Rhinolophus ferrumequinum: one gene and its partners. The protein of the gene in region 1 binds, or shares a complex with, the protein of each later gene. Links are inferred from orthologs where the notes say so. Each region holds a gene or a part of one and is shown on either strand. Other genes may lie near its edges.

The links. The genes of interacting proteins can lie anywhere in the genome.
Region 2: IQCG (region 1) and EFCAB2 share a complex: the UniProt entries of both Homo sapiens proteins name them as parts of the nexin-dynein regulatory complex. The link is inferred for Rhinolophus ferrumequinum from reciprocal best matches to the Homo sapiens genes DRC9 and DRC8.
Region 3: IQCG (region 1) and DRC7 share a complex: the UniProt entries of both Homo sapiens proteins name them as parts of the nexin-dynein regulatory complex. The link is inferred for Rhinolophus ferrumequinum from reciprocal best matches to the Homo sapiens genes DRC9 and DRC7.

The regions. Positions count from the first base shown.
Region 1 is NC_046285.1:50,083,651-50,090,848, reverse strand, and holds the start of IQCG (dynein regulatory complex protein 9), read right to left. Parts: upstream 3,012-7,198; 5' UTR 2,851-3,011; intron 1-2,850. Other genes in the region: RPL35A (60S ribosomal protein L35a), read left to right, coding at 3,973-3,983, 4,174-4,326, 5,413-5,557, 6,949-6,972. UniProt on the Homo sapiens protein: Component of the nexin-dynein regulatory complex (N-DRC), a key regulator of ciliary/flagellar motility which maintains the alignment and integrity of the distal axoneme and regulates microtubule sliding in motile axonemes.
Region 2 is NC_046310.1:16,398,698-16,406,679, reverse strand, and holds the start of EFCAB2 (dynein regulatory complex protein 8), read left to right. Parts: upstream 1-4,982; 5' UTR 4,983-5,096; exon of another isoform or gene 5,097-5,226; intron 5,227-5,579; 5' UTR 5,580-5,678; coding exon 5,679-5,709; intron 5,710-7,982. UniProt on the Homo sapiens protein: Component of the nexin-dynein regulatory complex (N-DRC), a key regulator of ciliary/flagellar motility which maintains the alignment and integrity of the distal axoneme and regulates microtubule sliding in motile axonemes.
Region 3 is NC_046298.1:10,259,604-10,266,742, reverse strand, and holds the start of DRC7 (dynein regulatory complex subunit 7), read right to left. Parts: upstream 3,001-7,139; 5' UTR 2,923-3,000; intron 1,319-2,922; 5' UTR 1,148-1,318; intron 430-1,147; exon of another isoform or gene 427-429; 5' UTR 392-426; coding exon 198-391; exon of another isoform or gene 186-197; intron 1-185. UniProt on the Homo sapiens protein: Component of the nexin-dynein regulatory complex (N-DRC) a key regulator of ciliary/flagellar motility which maintains the alignment and integrity of the distal axoneme and regulates microtubule sliding in motile axonemes.

The sequences.
Region 1 (7,198 bases):
TATTTATCTGGAAAATCAGTTTAATACAGTTATCAAGATGTTACCCCTTCTTGGTAAACCAAAGTCCTTTCTGCTTAAAAGAGTTTTAAATTCTCCATGGAGAATTTTGCTCTATACTGAATGAATAGTGAATGGTGAGTTTCCAGTGTGATTTTGTTCACAATAAAGTGATCCTGAGAGGAGTGGTACAAATATGCCTCACACAACAAAAATCTCACATGCAAAAATTCAAACATATAAAACAATCTTTATGTAATAAACTGAGAAAAACATACTCCAAACTAGCCAAATTTTCTGGTGCCAGGACAGCCTTAGGAAGTAGCATGGTGTTAAGGTTTTGTTCTTTTGTTGTGTTATTTTAACATTTTTTCGGCTTGGGGCATAGGTCAATATACTTCACATAGGTAAGACAGGGCTATGCTTATGTAGTATCCAGTGCTTTTGTGCTGTTCTAGCTTCTCATTCTTCAACACTAGAAACCCAGGAATCATTCCTGCTTCTTCCTTCATCTTGCCATTACCAATCACAGCTCTTTCAAAACAATTTGTGTAATCCCTCTGGGTACCCCCCTTTTTCTGTTTTTACAAACTCTGTCTCTTTCTTTCCCCCTCAGAACACAGTTGGGGTTTCCAACAAAATCTGTGTCTCCTGGATTGCAATTCCTAAAAAAGACCCCCAAATAAAGCTTTTAATTGCCTTGCAGTTCTTGGTCAAAACTGAATCATGCTCCCTTTCAACTCAGGGTTTTTGCATATGCTATTCCTTTAACTGGAACTGTTCCTCTCCCTTCTTTACCTTGTAAAGTCCCACTGATCCATCAGGTAGCAGCTTAAATCAGTGGCATTTTGCTAGGTATCTGCTATGTGCCCTTCTAGATCCAATCTCCACCATTTTCTGTGCCGTGAGAGACTGATCCATATGGAGTGCATCAATGGGAGATTCCAAAAGAGATCCAAAGTGTAGGATTGTGAGGTTAGGTGGTGATACCCCTGCCAGATCACCACTGGTTGGCAATGTTTCTCTGTCAAAGGCCATGCATGGGTTCTGTCAGGCAATCCTCTCCATATTGCTCTCTCTTGGGAGTTCAGGTAACTTCTTTCCCATGTGCCTGGAAACGGCATCATCCCTTATAGTTTCACTTGTGCCTATACTTTTGTAAGCAGACTCCTTATTAAATTCTCCTCAACTCTGCCAACTGTTTCCTTCCAGGGCAACACTGATACAATGACCTACAATGACATGTATACATTTTTATATGTAGTGTGTGTGTGTGTATATACACACACACACGTATATATATACATATATATGTATATATGTAAATATACATGCAAATAACAAGTTTCATAAAACAATTTATAACATGTGATACGTTCTGATATTTTCAATTCTATCATGTTTTGCTTAGAAAGTTTTATAACCATGATCTAATGTACCATAACCTCCAGTTTGGAAAATGTCTTAAATGATACTTCTGCCAAGTGACACTATCCCTGACTCATTAGGCTGGATCAGGATCTCTCTGTTCAAGCATTCATTGCACTTGTATTTTCCTGCATAATTTGTAATGTTTATGTCAATTTCCCCCACTAGACTGTTAAGTTCCATGAAATCAGGAACCATGACAATGCTCGCTATTGTATCCTAAGTTTCAGGCACTATTCTCAGTAAGTATGTGTAGAATGGATGAATGAATGAACAAAGGAATAAAATTCAATGTGTTATTCCTCTCAGGAGTACTTATCTTTGGATTTCTATAACAGTACATTTAACAGTGAGATTGTGAGTACATTCTCTAATATTGGGATTTCTGGTATATTTCTGGGACACAGAAAATTGGATAGGGAGAGTGGGCTATAAAGGTACATAAATTCTATCTTGATGTATTTATAAGACGATCTAATTTTAAATGATTTATATACACCTATTTTATGAAACTTTGAAGTCATCCTTTTCTCTCTCTCATTCCTCATCTATCAGCAAATCCTGTCAGTGTTACATTCAAAATATATTCAGAATTCCAGTACTCATCACTTCTGTCTACATGCCATAATCTCTCATTAGGATCATCACAATAGCTTCCGAATCGATCTCCCAGATGGTGCCCTTATTTCCCTTCAGTCTCAACACAGTGACCCTGTTAAAATGGAAGTCAGATTGAGCAGCTCCTCTATACAGAAATCTCAAATGGCTTCCCATCCCATCCTTTACAGTCCTCCGAGCTTAATTTTTCTCCATAAAGAATATGTTTCTCACATCACCTTCTAATGTGCCATACATTTTACTTGCTTATTGTCTTTCTCCCCCCTACCAGGATGTAAGTTCTACGAGGGTCAAGTTCTGTTGTTTTGTTCAGTGTCCTCCGAATCAAGAACAAAACTTGGTATGTAGGAGTCACTCAATAAACTGTTGAATAAATGAATGAATCCATAGGGTAACCCAAATAAATGTGCAATAATTAGGAAATATAAATCTCTGACGTCCATTAACTTATCTTATGCTAGTATTCAAGTAATTACTGAAGACGTGAACGTGTGGGCATGGTGCTGGGCGCCCAGACCGTTAGCCTGACAGTTTACCTTATTCCCCTAAAAGGGAGTAAGGTCTTTTCAGGGCAGTCCTCCTTACCCTCGGGGTCAAATCAAAGGATGGAGGTAAGAATGTAACTCATTTCTGGAAAGAGATAAAGGAGCAGAAGGAGGGAAGGAGTAAGGTAAAGAGAAGGGCTCCTCCTGCCTTTGTGCTCCCGGCCTTTCTCTTCCAGGATAGGATCCGAGAGTCTCCGTTGGCCTACTCCTGTCTAGTAAGAGGGAAAGCTACCCCTACATTGGCGAATCAAATCTGAGGTACCTCAAGCGGCGCTATGTCCTCCCGTCCGGCTTCACTTTTTCCACCTACAACCGGAGCTCGCAGGAACCACGCTAAGATGTTTCTATGGCAACGGTCAGCTTTGAGGGACTTTTTGCTTCTCTTTTAGTTGGCTACTACTTTGCCTTCCTCTATTCTAAAAAATAATACATGTTGCAGCTTGCAAAAATGGAAGGACTTAAGGGAAGAATTTTAAGAGTGTTGTTAAATGTGGCTTGTTTCAGTCAGAAGACGATTTCTGAGGCTTTTTTTTTGGCGGTCGCGGAAGATGCCTAAACTGGAGGCGAGGTGAAAGTATTTTTCCCACAAGGCTACGCGGCGGGGCTTCGCCTTCCTTTTTCCGCCATTTTGGCGCCTGGGGAGGTGAGTGGTTTTCGTGCTGCTGAAATTTGGGGGTAAATAACTGGAGTGCGTTCAACCACATATGTCTCTGAGCCACTGTTGCGGCTCGGAGGCACTGCCAGCCACTGATTTCTATGGATTCCAGCAATAGGGAGGACAGGATGGAGGAGATATGGGACTGATGGTGCTGGTCCCCTGACGTCCGGAGAGCGGGTGCTCCCGTAATCAGAATTGCTTCTTCTGGGCCGTAACGGAGTGAAACAGATGCACTTCGTCTGCATTTACCTTTTTGAGGCAGTGGCTCTTTTAGGATGGATTTTTTCCAGTTGCTCCCATTCCAGTCTTGGCTTTTGCTTGCTTACAGTTTCTTCGGTTTTCTTTCCCATTTATTGCTAAAGAGTTGTTTTCTGCATGTTTCTCTGACTCCTTGATCTTCCTTCTGATCATGGCATGAATTTTCTTAGAACTTCCTTTGGAGTTTCTTTGGGTTATTTTAGTGTAGAGTCTTGACACTTATTTTCAAGTTTACTTAGCTATTAGGCATTCTTTGGGGTTGGGATGTCGTGCCAGACTGCGCTTCATGTATTTATGGCATAGTTACGTTTCCACACTCAGCGTGAAATGCCGATCAAAAAGGAATTTAACGTAACACGTTTAAGAGACGAGAGGGGACCAGGTGGGGAGTATGCGTTACGAGATTTTAAACTGATTTTTTTGTTTATTTTAAGGCCTGCTGGGAACAGGACTTCTAAAACGACAAATATGTCTGGAAGGTACTGCTTTTCATTGTTTTGTACTCGAAGTTTTTTGTTCAGCATGAATCTAAAGGCGAGTTTAAAACTAGTGGGAGAAATTAGGTAACTTTTGGGTGAGGGTCGTTACAAGTCATATTATACTGGACGTTTGAACTTAAAGGAGATATTAACAACAGCTTATGGTTAATATATACTTTGTGTGTTTTAGGTTGTGGTCCAAAGCCATTTTTGCTGGCTATAAGCGGGGTCTCCGGAACCAGAGAGAGCACACAGCTCTTCTTAAAATTGAAGGTGTTTATGCTCGAGATGAAACTGAATTCTATCTAGGCAAGAGATGTGCGTATGTGTACAAGGCAAAGAAGTAAGTTTATAGTATTATACTTTTTGCATTTTTATTTGATCTGTGTCATTTTCCTATTCAAAGAGGAATAAAAAGATGTTGGTAAAGTAATTGGTACTGTTGTGCCTTCTACTTTGGGATTTTAAGGAACTTCATGGGATGGGAGGTTACAGAAGGATGTTATTTTGTGGATGATGTTGGGTACAGCTGTTAAATGTTTCAAGAAAGGAGCCAACTCCTTGTATGATTTAAAAATTTTACAGAGTACTTTACATGTTCCTTAATTCATTTCGTTGATTCCTTGAAATTATGTTTTATATGTATACTTAAAGATGTTCCTAGAGCATTGGTTCTTAATCCTTGGTTCTTAAACCCATTCCAGACCAATTAAAATCTCTGGGGACATGCCTTCATCTTTGCCCCCTTTTCCTTCTACAGCCAGAGCTCTTTAAAATTATGTCAGGTCATCGCTGCATTGCTCAAATTCCAACTGATCCTCATCTCATTTAGTAAAAGCTAAAGTCGTTAAAGATCTTATGCATTCAAGGCTCCCAATTTCTACTCTTAATCCAGCTAGGATTTAACTCTTGATATCTATTTCCTGCCTTTCCACAAGCCAGGGACACAAACCACAGGTTTTAAACACAGGCTGTTCCCTTATCTTCCAGTCTTTGCTCAGTGTTACCTTCTCAGTGAGGCCTTTCTTTGCTATTTAAAATTTGCAAACACAAATATTCTCAAACTTCTTATCTCCCATTGTTTTTTATTATTATTATTATATATTGCAGTTATTACCATCTGACAATCTATACATTTTACTTAACATATAACTGAAGGCTATATTTACATAGTTATCCTCTGAAAGTTTTGTTTTGTAAATGGCTCTATTTTACAAAGTTTTTAAAAATTACATTTATAAACGTGGCATATAGTTGATACTCAAGTATTTGTTGAATGAATGATGGCCCAGGCTTATTTTCAAGTTTCTCATGTCACTAAGTGGTTAACTAGGCTCAAGAGCCACTGTCTAGATGTCATTTTGAATTTGTACCACACTGTAGTGGTTGCCTGAGTTCTCATTCCTCTTTTATTCCCTTTTAAAATCAGTAACACAGTTACTCCTGGTGGCAAACCGAACAAAACCAGAGTAATCTGGGGAAAGGTAACTCGTGCTCATGGAAACAGTGGTATGGTTCGTGCCAAATTCCGAAGCAACCTTCCTGCTAAAGCCATAGGACACAGAATCCGTGTAGTAAGTCCAATTATTAGCAATATGACACTCCGTTGAGTCAAACTAAGCTCAAGGCTTGGGCTTTGACTTCTAAGAACTATTGTGATTATAAAATGTCATTAATAGATTATGCTACAAAATTCGTGGCTACTGTGTAAAATGTAGAACATCAGATCTTGGCATTAGAAGGAAAATGAAGGCAAAATATGCAAGTGGATTGTGCCTAGATTTCAGATTTTGCTAAAGCTGCGGTGAGGGGAAAAGCATTTAAATGAACATTTTTCTGGCAAAGATATTTATTGGACACTGAAGTAATTGCTAGAAAATAAAAATTCAATTTTTCCTGGCATAATTTTTTTTTTAAATTATAAAGTTTATTGGGGTGACAGTAGTTAGTAAAGGTACATAGATTTCAGGTGTACAATTCTGTAATACATTATCTATATCTCACATTGTATGTTCACCACCTAGAGTCAGTTCTGTTTCCATCACCATGTATTAGACCCTGTTTACCCTCTTCTAGAGCCCCCCTCCCTTTTTTAAAGATTTTATTGGGGAAGGGGAATAGGACTTTATTGTGGAACAGTGTTTTTTTCCCAGGACCCATCAGCTCCAAGTCCGTTTGACGTTTTCAATCTAGTTGTGGGGGAGGGGGGCACAGCCCATCATCCCACGCGGAAGTCAAACTGGAAGTCAAACCGGCAGCCTTCTTGTTGAGAGCATGCGCTCTAACCAACTGCCATCCAGCTGCCCGGGAGATCAGTGGCAGCTTGTCTTCAATCTAGTTGTGGAGCGCGCAGCTCACTGGCCCATGTGGGAATCGAACCTGCAACCCTGTTGCTTGGAGCTCGGGCTCTAACCAACTGAGCTATCTGGCTGCCCCTTCCTGGCATAATTCTTAGTATTTTTCCCATGTTTTCATCATGACAGTCTCGTTAGAGTAGGTGTTATTGGCCTTATTTTGTAGAAGAAAACTGATGCTCATGTTTTTGGGTCCCAGGATTTGGGCCCAAGTCTTTGAATCCAGATCTCATGATTTTCCTAAAATAGCTCCTGTTTTCTTTAGTTAGGCTCCATTTTTAATAGATTTGGCCACAGTGTTGGGGTCCCAGGGTACTTTTGAACCCTGCTAAGCAGTTGAGTTGTCTCATCAGGAAGTTTTTTACACTGTCATTAGAAGTAGCAAAATTAAATGGACTTTCAATGCTCCCATATTGGTTCTTAATCAAAGCGTGTTCACCTAGAAACTGAAGGCTATAAAAACTTGGTTCCCTCCCCACCGGGATATAAGTCATCATTGGATGCATTTCAGAGATGAATAATGGGATTGATCCATATTGTGGTATTTAGTAACATTGGTAAATTTGTATGTAACATGCATCTAATGGCATTGTGTTCTTTTTTCCCCCCAGATGCTGTACCCCTCAAGGATTTAAACTTACTGAAAAGTAAATAAAGTGGATTTGTTCTCTTGTATTTTTGTTAAATGGCTTAAAAATCACTTTGTCCTAAATTCATTTGTTACGTCCTTAAATGATGGTGGTTGTCAGGCATTTTCAAAGTATTCAAGGAAGTCAAAGGGCTATATGTAATGATGATTACAGAGATTTAGACAATGGGATAGGATGTGAGTTTGTTAAAGGAGAGGGGGACAGTAGAAAG
Region 2 (7,982 bases), on another chromosome or scaffold:
GCCTCCTTTGAGAGACAGGAGAGCAGGCCGAAGCCTTGGGTCTTGATACAAGAAGAAAATGAAAAATGCAGAATAAGATTCTGAGGCAGAATCTCAGGAGAGACTTCGGGGCTCCGCAGGAGAAAAGCCACATTTCCTCACATAGAAGCACTTTGGGAATGTTAACTCTTCGGAGAGGAGATAGAAGCACTTTGGGAATGTTAACTCTTGGTTTCTTCATCTTTAATATGGGCATCGTATTAGTATCCTTCTTATAGGCTTATTTTGATGATTAAGTAAGGTGGTCCGTGTAAAATGCTTGGCATCGTTTCTAGAAAATAGTAACTGCTCCGACTAGTATCGCTATTGGTCCTAGAGCCCTAAGAGAGTCACATAGCCATAGGCCAAAGAAATTACATCAGGCCAGAAGCAACGAGGCAGCGAGAATTATAGGTTGCCTCTATATCCCAAATGGTCAATCTCCTTATCTCCATGTAACCTCCATGTAAACTCAGATGGGGAAACTGAGGTTACAAAGAAGAAATAACATATCCAAAGTCATAGCATAAATGAGCAAAGGACTGAGGTTGAATTCTGGGCCCATTTATCTCCTAAGACTATTTGCTTGATTCTTCTACACAGCATTATCTCCTAACATAAACATTAACATAAATGAAACTTAATTTCAAAAATTTCTTTTTGAAGCAGGAACTGAAAAATCATCCCAAAGCCAATTATCAGCATAATTCTATACTTTTTCTCTATTTTCCCACGTAAACAGGAAGAGGTGATGTGAGCAGCCATAAACATTTATTGACTCTCTGGGTCAGCTCCCAGCCTTTACCTTTCAAGTCTTATTGTCAATGAATAAAGAGCAGAGACTCACCAAAAGTTGCTTAGCAATGAGTGTCCCTGCAAAGTGCTCTCAGGACAGGAAATGTTTAAGTAATAATGAATTAAACAGTGGCTTGCTGTGGCGATGTGTGTTTTTAAAGGAATCAGAAAGAAACATGTGTTTTTGACAGAAATAGGGCCCAGAGTGTGATTTTTCCAAATGTTTTCAAGAGTTGTGGATTCATGTAAGATTTACTTGCAAGCTGCCCCCAGTGCTGCAGTTCCAGCTTCCTGCTCTGGGTCTCCCTGAAAAGCCTGAAGGAACTGTGGCACTGAAAATGCTCTTGTCCAGGGCCAAGAATTTAACACAACCTCCTCAACCCCATTGAGGCCTGAAATCTCCATGTGCAGGAAAGTGAGAAGGAAAGAGAAGGTAAGCAGACCACTGGATCACGGTGGACAAGTGAGTTTCACCTCCTCTCCTGCCATCCAGACGCCAGGTCTTTAACTGTCTGGTCAAACAAGGACAAAGGGCATGCCATCATCTGGTTCCCTTCAAGTCCCTAAGAGTCTCTGCCAGTTGTTTTAGTTGATGTTCTGAAGCAGTAAAAAAAAAAAATAATAGTAGGGGCGGAAGTTGACTAATTCTGCCCAGAATTTTTGTCCTTAACATTCTTCTTAAGATATTCAGTTTACGAAATAGCATAGAACAATGTTATCTTGAATTTATAAAGAAGCAGTATAGCACTAAACGGGGATACTAGTATCAGCCTTATAGGGATTAAAAGAGATAATGTATACAAAGTACTCTTTTGAGTTATTTTTATTTTTATAACTGTAATGAAACCCAACTGTTATTCTGTTGTATTCTGATAAGGTTTTCCTTTTGAGATCATAGGGTAAGGCTACTTGCACTCTGGGTAGGTGTCGAGAGTCTTCCTTGAGGGGCTGGGCATTCTTGATGTGAATTATCCAGGGAAGGGCTGTATCCTCAGTTAGGAAACGGGAATCAGACCAGAGAAGCAATTCCCTCCCTCTTATTTTGCTGGGTCTAGAGCTCAAGGATTCTAGATATGCTTAAGGTCACTCCTGCTTGGTAAGGTTTAAAAATGGCTAGATGGAAACCAGGAAGGGGCCACACACTGAAGATGGTGACCTCTATCATGTAAAATAGATCTTGTCACGTAGGCAGCAGAGGCCCGGAGTCAGACCACCTCCCACTGTGTAGCTGAAGCATTGGAAAAGCAAATTCTCCAAGTGGAATCTGAATCTCAGGAAAGAAGTTGGGCTTTGACCTTTAAGGGCTCTTTCCTACGTGGAAGTGGGGTTTTTTTCATTTAACGAGAGCAGATTTCCTTGCAGGTTCTTTTCAAAACTTCTGGTTATATCTATTGAGTGTCTTGAAAACATTAAGATAGGTAGTTTGGACATTGCTGCGACTCTTTCTGAGTTAACTAAGTTTTAGAGATTATATGACCTGACCTGCCTAGGGTCAGGAGGTCAGTTCTGGCAATGACGGAGGAAAATCCAGTTTTTGTTTTTTCAGCTTATTCCTGCCTAGTCCAAGGAGATTTCAATGATTGCCATATGAGGAAAGTAAATATGAAGATTTTTTTGACTATCATTTTGCATTATTCACACCATTACCCATTCCACTTCACCCATATCTTAGGTAACTGAATCAACTGTATTCAGAAGAAACAGAAGTTCCCGTGTCCCTCATGGGCACGGAACTAACACCTATAGAAAAAGATTTAACTCACAGTACATTCAAACATGCAAAAGGACAGAACTTTTTCATAGCCATCTGTCCCCATTGAATAATTGATCAAGTAAGTGTCACAGTCTAAAACTATGCTCTTGCTTTTCTGATTTAGTCCTAAGGTTATATATCCATGAATGGGAACAAAAATAATTTTTCCAATTCTGTATTTCTGACAAAATCACTGAGATTCTTAAGTGAAAGAATGCCTTAGCAGCATATAATATTACAAAGTTACTCAATCTATAGTTCGGAAACGAAATATATTCTAAGGAAAAGAAATGGTTGTAGTTTGCCATTGTCCTAAGTGAGCTAATTATATTTCAAAAAAGTTAAAATTGGAGGTCAAGTTTCCACAACCAAAGAAAAGTGGAAAGTTGAGTCAAATATCAGCATAATGCACATAATTACTCATTGGTATTGTGGGCCTTTATTGTGTTATTCGGTTATTTTCTCACTTCGTGGAAAGTTTTCCAGAATAATTACATACTTTTACGTCTAATTAATCAATTGAAAAGTATATATTAAGCTTCTAATATGTGCCCCAATTTAGGCTAGGGATTGTGGGTATATAAAAGGTGATTAGGCTCTTGTCTTCAAACCTAATTGGGGGGAGGGGTTAATTAACATCTATTAAATTTTTTTTTTTACTCAGTCAAACTTAGAGAAACAGTATTGTATTAAATATGCTGTGGGAATTCAGAGAAGTAGAGATTAATGTGGTTTGGAATAATCTAAATAATAAACTTTGCTTCTCAATCATTGACAAGACTAACTCCTGGTTTAATTTTTAAAATACATATTATTTCAGACACAAAAGTTGAAAAATTGTTCTAGGCATTGGGGATATATGGACAAATAAAGCGTTTGCTATCCTCAAGAGCTTAGTTTGGTAGAAGGAAACAAGCAAATAAACTGTTAAAAGAAGAATCAACAGGCCAAAATGGAGTCACTTTTGCTAAGCCATGTTACTGAAACTTAATAACTTAACTTAACTGCAGTTTCAGTCTTTCCCAGGTGTGAAACTTGAAAACAGTCTGGAATTTCCTGACCAACACCAGTTAGGTAATCTGCATGATTAGACACCCTGCCTTCCTCTAAGGGATGATGTCCTTGCCTGAAATAACCTACTCTTAACTTCCTAGTGCCACCTTCTTTCTGCCTATAAAACCTTCCATTTTGTACAATTCATTGGAGCTCCCTTCTTGTTGCTACCGGGGTTGCTGCCCAATTCATGAATCGCTTACTACAGTCAATTAGACCTTCAAATTTACTTGGTTGAATTTTGTATTTTAGCAAAACAAAGTCATCGACAATCAATGTGAGATGCTCTATGAGTACAGGATAGAGGAAGAGGTTGACAGGAAAAGCTTCCAAGGAGGTCAGTGACAACCAGGAGGGAACAAATGTGACTGTGGGAGGGTGAATGTTGGGGTAGGGAGAGAGAAGAGAAAGGCATTCCAGAAAAAGAGAAATGCAAAACAGCATAGGAGAAAAGGCACAGGAAATAGGTATAGGTAATAAACCTGAGACCAAAGTTGGTTTTCTACATTTATTTCAAAGCCCTTCATTATCTATATGGCCAGTGGGCCTCTTTAAACAAATAAGTAGACCATAATGACTATGACATTTACATATAAATGCTAATGATTACTTTCCATATTTTTGGGTGTGAAGAATTTACTGTACACAATTGTATTCATTTTTATAAATATCTATCTTTGAATATGAGCCATTTGTGATGATGCCATCGTTTATATTCAGTTTCAAAGAGAATGCTGATCACAGCACCACATGAATATCTTCTATAGAAAAAGTACTTACTTTAATAAAGAAAAATCGTAGTTTGCTTTAGGGTTTACTGAGAAATTATAGAACCAGAATTAATAAAAAGCATAAAAACAGTAAAATCATAGAATACCTTGTATTTTGAAGGCCTCTTACTGTTTTTACATAACATCAAGTCATTTACATTAGTACACATATGCACTTAAAAAAATCATCCAAGATTAGTTTTAAAAATACATATTCGTTTGACCCTCATTATTAGGCATATTATTCAAAAATCATCTTAAAAAGAAAATATTCTTGTATAGTGAACTTCTCGTTAAAATTTTAGAGACCAAAATTTAACATCATGTTCCAGTTGCAAGTTTCAGAAAAGCGGGCTGTAGGACTTTTCCATAGTAACTTTAACTAGAGGTCAAGTCCAATTTCACAACTAAGAACATCTTAACCTATTGTAGCAATAAGCACAACTCGGGCACGTTTTTTGTCGCTAGGAGAACCTATTCCGTATCAGAAATTGCAGCCTTGACGACGCAACCTATTTTGCACACGTTTTTCTCCAGCTATTTCTTTCTTCAAGTAATAACAGTCAAATGGCTCTGATTTCCTCTTGCACCCGGCCGAGTTTTGCGTTTAGCTCCAGTTCCCATAGGCGGTGCAGTCGCCGTCCCTGGGAGCCGGCGGCGAGCCATGCCTGGAGCGGAGCAAAGGCGGACGGCAAGAGCAGGGGCAGGTCGGCCTCTGCGCCGCAGCCAGCCGCTTCCCAGCGCGACGCGGGCGGTGGGTGGGAAGGGGGAGGAGGCGGGATTGCGGGGGGGTTCTGTCACCCCCTCGGGAGTCGGGCGCTTCACCCAGCTCTCCAGGTGCGTTTTAAAATCTGCAGTAAAAAAATCAAAAATAAAAATCGAGTAACGCCACGTCGTCCCAGGAGGGGTGGGCGATAGCTGTGTGTCTGATGTCCCCAAATGCATCAAAAATAAAGGAAAGGAGGCTTTCGGAACTTTATTAAATAACTCCTCTACGTCAGAGAAATCAGGGCTGAGGCTCCGCTTTTGCGGGGAAAGTGCTCCAGCCGGTGGAGCGGCGCGGGGGGCGGCGGGACCGGGCTCGGGTCTCGCAGGCGCGCGAGGGTCGCGGCGGGAAGTGGGGGAAGGGCGCGTGCTCGGAGTCGCCCCTTCCCCCGATTAAGGGTCTCCTTCCCTCCGGGTTCGAGCAGCGGTCCTCCAGGCCCGACTCGCCGCGGGGGCTGGAGGGGCAAGGACGCCGCGCCCTCGGTTAACGACCGTCGTCTCTCGGGCAACGGGTTCCGCACAAGATGGCGGACAATAAAGAAAGGGAACACTCAGGTAAGAGGCTGCCCTCGCCGCCCGCGGCGACCCGGGCCGCGCAGGGGAGCGCCGGGTGGGGCCGGGTGACCCTCCATCTGGAACTCCCACCGCAGGGCGCGGTGACTGCGGAGGGGGCCGCTCTCCCCGGCTCCCGCCGCCTCCCCGGCCCACGCCTCGGCCCCGCCCCGCCCCCGTCTCCTCCCCGCCCCGCCCCCCTCGGTCTCCTCCCCGCCCCGCCCGCCCAGTTCCTCCCGTCCCCCTTCTTCGTCCCTCCCTCGGGGGACCGAGCCACGGTTCCAGCCTGGGTTGCGGCCGAGGCACTGGCGGCGTAGGGCGATAATGGCGTCCTTGTTCACGGTCGCGGGGACCCCGCTTCCAAACCGTCGCCCCGGCTCTCCGGGCCGCAGGCGCCACGCCGGCAGCTTCCGGAGCTGTGGTCCCCGGGCCGTCCTGGGTGAGGACGGGCCTGGCCGCCGGGTCCTCTCCGGCCGCGCCGCAACCCCTCCCCCTCCCCAGGCGTTTGGCTCCCGCGGCCACCATTTTGCCTCCTCACCGGGGACATGGGAGGACGGCCTCGAGGTCACAGTTGTCCCCTCCGCGCCTCTAGGCTCCGAAATGCCTCTGCTCTACCGGCTGCGCCCACCCGTCTGGGGTTTTGTTTTAAAACACAAAACAAAACACGATGTTAATAAAGACGACAGAGCAATCGAGCGGGAACGCGCACTAGCTCCCGTGCGCCGACTCGGCCTTTGCCGCGGGCTCGCGGCCGCATCAGCCCGCCAACCCGGTCACGGGCGCGGCCAACGTGGAAGGACGGGGCTTCCAGGCTCCTGGTCACTAGATCGGAAGGATTGATGTGTTCTTTTGTGCGGAGAAGCGATTATCCACGTTTATTTGCAAGACCTTTGTTTTCACTGAACAGTATAATCCAATACTGGGTTACCATCCTCTTACTCGAAAATGTCTGTTTATGTTTGGGAATTGGCAGACTCATCGCAAAACCAACATCAAGCCATAACTGTAGAGGTGCACATCTTAGAAATGAAAGTAATTCATTCCACCTCTGTTTCCTTTTTTGAGAGATCTAAGCACACCCTATCAACATGCCTTTTTTCTCAGCATGGAACAAAGTGTTTCAGGTTAACAACTAATATTTACAAGTGAAGAAGCCAGTTCTGAGATAGTCAGTTGTCATGGTGATCACAGAAAATTCAGCGGGGAAGCACAAAAACTGCGAAGATCTGCCTATAGATAAGAGTCATACTATTTCATTTTTTCATGGTACCCTTAGTCTGAAAGGACAGAATTATTTTATATAGATGTCAACGTTCCTAAGATGTCCTTATAAGTTATCATACTGCATTAAGGTACATTCTAATAAAATTATTATTTGTACGGTTTTTTTTAAAACTCAGAAAACCAAATGACTTAGTTATTTTAATTAATTCTTACAAAAATGTAAACAATCATTAGGAGATAAGTTACTTGTGGATATTTGTGTTTTAGCAAAAGATTTGATTAGGTCAGCATGAGAAACAAAGCACTGGATTATGTTGCAAATACAATTTTTTTCTTTACTTTAAAAATAGATTGAGAGCTTTTCTGATTTTTCAGTTTTCAGAAATATTTTTGAAATACATTATTTAAAATAATTCAGAGGGAGAAACAATCTGTCTATAAGTATAGAAGAAGTAATGACTGTTAAAAGCTGTATGTCATTCATTCAGTTGGCATATTTAATGCCTATCATATGGAAGGCATTCTGATTAGGTTAGAACTTTGGAGGATATAAAGATGACAAAGCCCTCATCTTTTCTCCCTAGAAAGGTAAGATCTGTAGGGGAGATAAGATATCCACAATGGGAAGAACAGTTAATGGCGCTGAGAAGCCAGTATGCCAGATACTGTCCCAGGGGTGTTCTAGCTCCTGGTGTGTGGACAGTAGCCTGGGCATCACAGGGAGCTTATTAGAAAAGAAAAATGTCAGTTCTTGCTCCTGACCTATGAATCAGTCTTCATTTTAACAGATTTGGTGACTCATATACACATTAAAGTTTGAGAAGCACTGTTGTATGGTATATCTCATTTATTCTTAACAATTTTTTGAGTTAACTATAATTACATTTTGAAGGGCATGATGAAATAAAGGCACATGCTGTCTGAGGATAATCTTTGTATTGACATTGCACTCCTATATTTGATTCTCAGCTTTGAAGATTAGAAATTACATCTAGCCAATTAATCAGAATTGATCAGACTTTGGGGAGTCACTCAAGCTAACTAAACTCATG
Region 3 (7,139 bases), on another chromosome or scaffold:
ACACAGCTAGCGCGGGGGAAGAGTGGGCCTTGGACCAGGCGGTCTGAAAGCAGAGCCCTCGCTCTTAACTGCTTTCTCTGTTCCTGGTCCTGCCTCCCAGCCCAGGTGCCACCATGCCTCCGGGCTCCTCCTTCTCCCAGCCTTGCTCAGGCCGTCTCCAGAACGGCGGGGCCCAAAGCCTCCACCTCAGCACTCACGAGTCCCTGCCTGGGACAGTAATCTCAATCTCCGACAGCTTTTTCTCCAGGTCTCTGAGCATCTCCTGTGTCATGATGGTTCCCCCCTTCCGGACCTCTGATGGCCTCATCTTCTCGCCCCTCTCTGCCCGCTCGGCTGCCTCCTCTCTCTCGGCTGCCTCCTCCTCCTCCACTTTCTCCTTCAGGACCTCCATTTTGGTGTGTCTCTGACTGTCTAGAGACGGAGACTCTGCTGGAGGGATACACGCACTCAGAATGGCCAACTTCAGACCAGGAAGGAGCCACCAAGACCACCTGCGTCCCTGAGCCGTGATTTTTGGTGTTTTAGATCACAGAAGGAGGAAGTGAATCTCTCTTAAACTTCCTTTCCATTGAGGAGAAAGTCTCCACTTGAAGACTCTCTTTAAAACAAAGACAAGCAGGCCACAGATTGGAAACTATTGTCAGGGCAGGAGACGGTAGTCCAAACGTACTAATATTGCTTGGCTTTTTGCATATTTATTCTGACAGTACCTTCTCTGTATGGCAAGTGATGCTAATGCTGAAGGGATTACTTCAGTATCATAAAATTTCCTGTCTAAATATATTTATTAAGTCTAATAAGTGAATTGGTTTAAAGAAAATTATTCATCATAGTAAGATGATATGGAATGTAACAAAAAGAAGGTCGCGTCACGAAACTTGGAACTGAGGGACAGAGGGGGCAAACACAGGGCTGCCACTGAGGCAGCTGGACAAAGGGCAGGCACGTGGGGGATAACAGAGCCTGCGGTCTCCTGGCCAAGCCCCGTGTCAGCTTGTTTGGGAGCCAAACTGAAACGCCATATGTGTTCGTGCGCCCTAGGAAGTCCTTGCCTGTGGTTACAGAGCAAAGCCTCCCTGAGGCGGACCACTAGTTTCCTACCCAAAGATCCAGTCCCCCTTTCCGTACAACAGAACGCCAATGTTACCGGGGGCAGCCAGGTGCCTGGTTTGAAATGTTCCGCTTCCCCGCCTGCCTTGGAGCTGGGGTCGGCCCTGTGAGGTACACCCGTTCTGGCCGCTGAGATGTCAGTTGAAGTTGCTGGATGTCAAAGGGTAGGGCCCAGGCGGCCCAGACTCTGCCCTTCTCCTCTCCCTGCCTGGGACACAGATATAAAGCAGGAGGTGGGGCAGCCAATTAATGACTATGAGATGACCAACATGAGGACCAACGCTGACAGCTATATACGGCAGAGTGACGAGACGGGGGAGCCATGGTCCCAAGAGGTGCCGTGGAGGCCTTGAGTGCCACCGCCAGACTTCCCATCCTGTGAGGAGATTCAGCTACTGCTTGTTTAAGCACGTTCCTGTTAAACCATCCCAGCTGATCCCCCAGCCTCCTGCCTCCCAGCTCATGTCTCTCCATCACCCCACCTCAAATATCTATTTTTTTTTTTTAACAATAAATAAGGCAAAGGCCCAAAGAGGAGGAAAACTGACCTAATGCACAGGTTGTGGTGGGAGAGGAGAGTGAGGATCGAGGAGAAAAGAGCAGGCTCTCCCCAGATTTGTCATCACCCTCTGGGGTGGAGCCAGGACCAAGAAGCCGGGCCCTACCTCCCTGCTCCATCCCTACCTGGGCCGCCTTGGGGTGGGCGGCTAGTCACTGATCACCAGCCTGGCTAGGGGGAATCTTGGCTCTTCCAGCAGCTCCTGCTGGGGCCTTGGACCATTCTCTGCCCCTTTCTGGGCGTCAATTTCCCCTTCTGCAATATGAAAAGTGGGACGGATGTTTTCTGTCCACTGCTGACATGCTGGAGGACTCAGCAGGGGCTGACTGCACCTGTTGCTTTGCTGGAGGTCAGCTCACCCTAGTCCCAGGGAGTCAACATCACAACTGAGGCCTTGTGTCCAGCAGGTCTGTTCAGAACCCCAGTTCCCTGCAGCAAACCTGCTGCTGTGCCCACCAGGCAAGCAACACAGCCTGGTGATTAGAGCCATTTGTCTGCTTCTTGGGCACAGAGAGGATAAGCTCAGGGCGGACGATAATAACTATTACAAGGCACTTCCAGTTTACTGAACACCTACTGAGTCCCAGGCGCTGTGCTAACTAAGGGTTTTACAGAGATAATTTCATTTATCCTCCAATGACTCTGTGAGGCAGGCACTATTATGATACCCACTTTGTAGAGGGAAAAATTGAGGCCTAGAACAAGGGGAAACTGCCTATGTTCACAGAGAGTAAATAGCAGATCTGGGGTTTGAAACCCATGCACTTAAGGGCCTAATGAGATGGGGAAGTCTCAGAAGGATGGTGTGAGCGGTGGGAGGAGGGTGGTGAGTAAGGAAAGAAGTAGAATGGGGAGAGGGTCAAGGTATCAGTGGGAAGCAGGGGGTTACAACTGGGGCAGGCACTGAGATGGGCTCTGAGCCTAAGGTCACAGAACACGGTCATCAGAGGCAGAGACGGGCCAGAACTCGTAATACTTTGTTCCTCACAGAGTATTGGGCGACCTCATCAGTTACAGCGCAGTTTGGGGAGGGCAGTCCTGCCTCAAAGTTCCCCGGACCCTACCCAGAGACCCAGAGGCCCAGAGGACCTCCCCACCACCACAGGCCACTTTCCACACCCCCCTCCCAGAAGCAACCTCCCTTCCCCAACACACACACACACACACACACACACACACACACACACACACACAAAACTTCCCCAGAAAGATCAGGGCTGAAAGCCCTGGGCAGAGGAAGCCCCCTTACCAACCTTCCCCTCTCCCTGGCAGGCAAGGTCCAATCACCCCCAGTCCTCTGAGGACAGCCTGTACCATCTGTTAGCCTGTCTCCATGGTAACGGCTTTGGGAAGCTGTCTGGTCCTGGGAGAGGAGGCTTCTGGGAAATGTAGTCTTCTGTCACTACTCAGTTCTGGGCCCAGAAGACCCACTACTGCAGATCCCTTGAAAAGTGGCGGCTGGAGCCAGCTTGTGGCAGCTTGCAAGACCTGGTTATTAAAATTTCAAGAAGGTTTGTGAGCTAGTTGACAAAGGCATTATTAAAAATTGAATTATCAAAATGTGTAAGTAAATAGATTGTATCTAAAACAAAGGCAATAAATAGCCAAAATGCATCCCTTCCTAATTATTTTACTATATTGTACTATTATGTAAGCTCTTGAGGTTATTTAGGCCTATTGTATCTGTATAATAAAAATATTATATAATGGTGAGCTACTCTGCATCTTTTCCCAACTTTTGTTTAGTGATGTCGCATCGATAAAAATTGGCTTAAAATTGGCCGTGGGATTATTTACACCACAGAAATTGGCAAATGCTACAGGCCAGGGCTTTTTCTCTCATCGAGCCAGTTAAACATTTACCAGGATACTGCGGCCCTTGCACCATGCACAATCAACGTGGCCTTCATCAGGATAGATGGAAACCAGTGTGGGCCCTGTCCTGTGGTGAACAGAGCCAGGCTGCCTGAGTCCTGGTTTCTAGTCCAGGACTAGAGGCCTGGTTTCTGGGCCTCTGATTTAGTATGAAGCTCCCAGGACAGAGAAAACTTGCTCATTAGGTTAGAGGCCCATGAAAATGTTTCATTTGAATTTCTTCTAAATTCAGAAGAAAAAAAAATTAATAGACTAATAATGGACCTACAATGATGAGTCTACCCTGGGTTCTATTCATCTTTGTACCAATGGAGTCATAAAATATCATTTTGACTGTTTTGTTTTTGGAAGGAGGGGCCCACAAAAGTCATAATTCGGCCTGTGGAGGTTTGGAGATAAGGGTCTGGAGAAATACTGCAGATGTCCTGACAAGGTCATATAGTTGCTGTTACTGGTTGCAACGTAGGTCACCTCAATTCTCAATAATAAAGAGGATTCTTTTTCTTCTGGTTAGAATATTATGCAGTCATGAAAAACAACATGTGAAGGATAAATTGGACTGAGGGAAAGCTCCAGAGACCGCGTGAGGCCCCCCGTCCTGGTGAGCGTCCTGCGATTAGCTCTGTAGGGAATTTGCCAGGGGTGAAGGCAGGAAGAGAAGAGGAAAAGGGAAGCAGGTAATGTGGAGGCTGGTGGAATGGAACATAGGCTTCATTTTTCTCTTTTCCCCATGTAACAGCCCACTTCTTTTGTATATTTATTTATTCCCCTTTATCCCTACACCCACTCTCACTTTCTGTCCCCATAGACAATCATTGTAGAGTGCATTGCTTTGCATGCTTCTCTTTTTAATTTGTGTAAATGATACGGCATTCCTATTCCCCGTTTCTTTTATTTTCACTAAGAACCATGTTCTTAAGATCCATCCATGTTGCTAGGTGTCCACAGCAAGGATCCACATTAATTACCTCTCCATTCTCCCAGTGATGGACACCCCACTTCGCCCCACCTCCCTTCCATCACAGATAATGTCACAATGTCATCGGTCATGTACCTGTAAGAGTTTTCCTTTAGGATAAGTAACCAGGAGCAGGACTGCTGATTCAACAGCAGCACCCTGTTTTTCTCCAGGCAATGAAACCTACCCTCTCCCCACCTTCTGCAATGCGTGAGGGATCCTAGAACCCTTGCCCCTGCCAGCAGCTTCCAACGGTTGCCAGTTTCACATATCTCCATTAAACTTGCCTCTCTCTGATAACTAATGACTTTAAATGTGTCTTCATGTGCTAACGTGTTAGTTTTAGGTGTTTCCTTCCCTGAATTTGTCCAACCCGTTCCTCTCTAGTAGGGATATGTCCTTGTTTTGGTTTGCTGGACTTCCAGATGTTTGTCCCTGGTTTCCAGTGTTGCAGATACCTACCCTCATTCTGTCACATGTCTGTTAACATGGCCCGGGGTGTCCTTCATTAAACAGAAAAACCTTCATTTTGATGCAATTAAATTGGCCAGGTTTTGTCTGATGTTTTGTGCTTATGAAGTTTTGCTTGAGAAGTCCTTCCTTGCCCTTAGGTCACAAAATATTTTCCTACATTAATTTTATAGTTTTGGCATCTCATTTAGACATTTAACCTGCCAGGAACTCATCTCTGTTTGAGGGGTTAGGTAGGGATCCTGTTTTATTTTTTTCCATATAATGAGCCAATTTTTCAACACCATCATCAGACCACCCATCCTTTCTTGATGATGCCACTCTTGTCGCGTATAAAGTCCCCCAGGTGCACATGAGTCTGCCACTGAGACTTCTGTTCTGCTCCACTGGTCTTCATGTCTATCCCTGCACAGACCCCATGTTGGATTTACCACTATTGTCTTGTAATAACTTCTTGTCTGCAGGTCAAGTCTTCCTTCTATACCTTCTTTCATTAAGCTTGGCTTAGCTGTTTGAGGCCTATACGCCTCCATATACATTTTAGAATAATGTTTTGGAAAGTCTTTAAAAATCATTTGGACTCTTTATTGAAATTACATTGTATTCATAGATTAATTTGTAAAGGATTTTTGTCTTTTTTTAAATTTTTTTTTTTTTTAAAGATTTTATTGGGGAAGGGGACAGGACTTTATTGGGGGAACAGTGTGTACTTCCAGGACTTTTTTCCAAGTCAAGTTGTTGTCCTTTCAATCTTAGTTGTGGAGGGTGCCGTTCAGCTTCAAGTTGTTGTCTTTTCAATCTTAGTTGTGGAGGGCGCAGCTCAGCTCCAGGTCCAGTTGCCGTTGCTAGTTGCAGGGGGTGCAGCCCACCATCCCTTGAGGGAGTCAAACCGGCAACCTTCTGGTTGAAAGGATGCACTCCAACCAACTGAGCCATCCAAGAGCTCAGCTGCAGCTCAGCTCAAGGTGCCATGTTCAATCTTAGTTGCAGGGGGCGGAGCCCACCATCCCTTGTGGGACTGGAGGAATTGAACTGGCAGCCTTGTGGTTGAGAGCCCCCTGGCCCATGTGGGAATCGAACCGGCAGCCTTTGGAGTTAGGAGCATGGAGCTCTAACTGCCTGAGCCACCGGGCCCGCCCAAGGATTTTTGTCTTTTGATATTATCTACCTGGGAGCACAGAGCAAGTCTTCTTAATTTCCTGTATATTTGGTATATTGTATTGAAAAAAATACTAGGAATGAAGAAATTGGAGCAGAATGGAGAGAACCAGGGAGCCCCGGCAGTGGTGGTGGAGGGGACTCTTTCCACAGCACACAGAAGATTACTGCAGCCCAGGGCCTAATAAGGTGATGGCCAATCTCTGGCTCAGTCACATTCCTGCTGCAACCCGTGGCCGGCACTATCAACCACTATCTCATGTAATCCTTCATCAGCCCTGTGGGGCAACTACTGCCATTCCTGCTTTACAGGTCCAGCAGGTGAAGAATTGGTCCAAGGAAGTAGCAGAGGCAGGATCTGGACCAAGCAGGCTGACCCTAGAGTTTGTACTCTTGACCATGGAGCTACCCACCTCTTCGGTTGCTGTTGGGAGGGTTCAGTGACGGGGCAACCCTGCACACTTGCGCTGGGCCTTGGGGTGTCTTTTTCCCATGACCCTGCCTGGCCTTAGCATGTGTTCAGCCTGGCACTTGGAGCTGCTTTTGCAGTGAGCCTAGGCAATGAGGAACCCCAGCCTCTCTGCCCCTGCCTGGCCTTGGGGTGGAGAGCCAGCAGCAAAATAACACATCTGCATTGTTAACTGCACCCCTCGTCTACCTTCTCCATATGTACCAAGAAACCCAGTCCATTTGGGGCTTGTGGTTTTGTGGGTCCCACATCCCACTGAGCGTGTCTGGGAAAGCCCCAGCCCAGGGTTTGCGGGGTCGGAACGAGGTGATAATTCTTGAACCCAGGGAATGCTCTGGGAGACGATGCCAGCAACCCAGGGAGGCCCCAGCCTTGGCACCAGCCCACCTCGCAGAGTGTCCTTGTGTACGTTGCAGGGCCTCTCGGGGCCTCCATGCCTCATCCTCACACAGGGCTGGTCCACTTGGCAGAGCTGTAGAAGAATCTGGAAGGGAGCTTTAACCTTCAAACCCCTCCTAGTTTACATACAGGTTGCATAG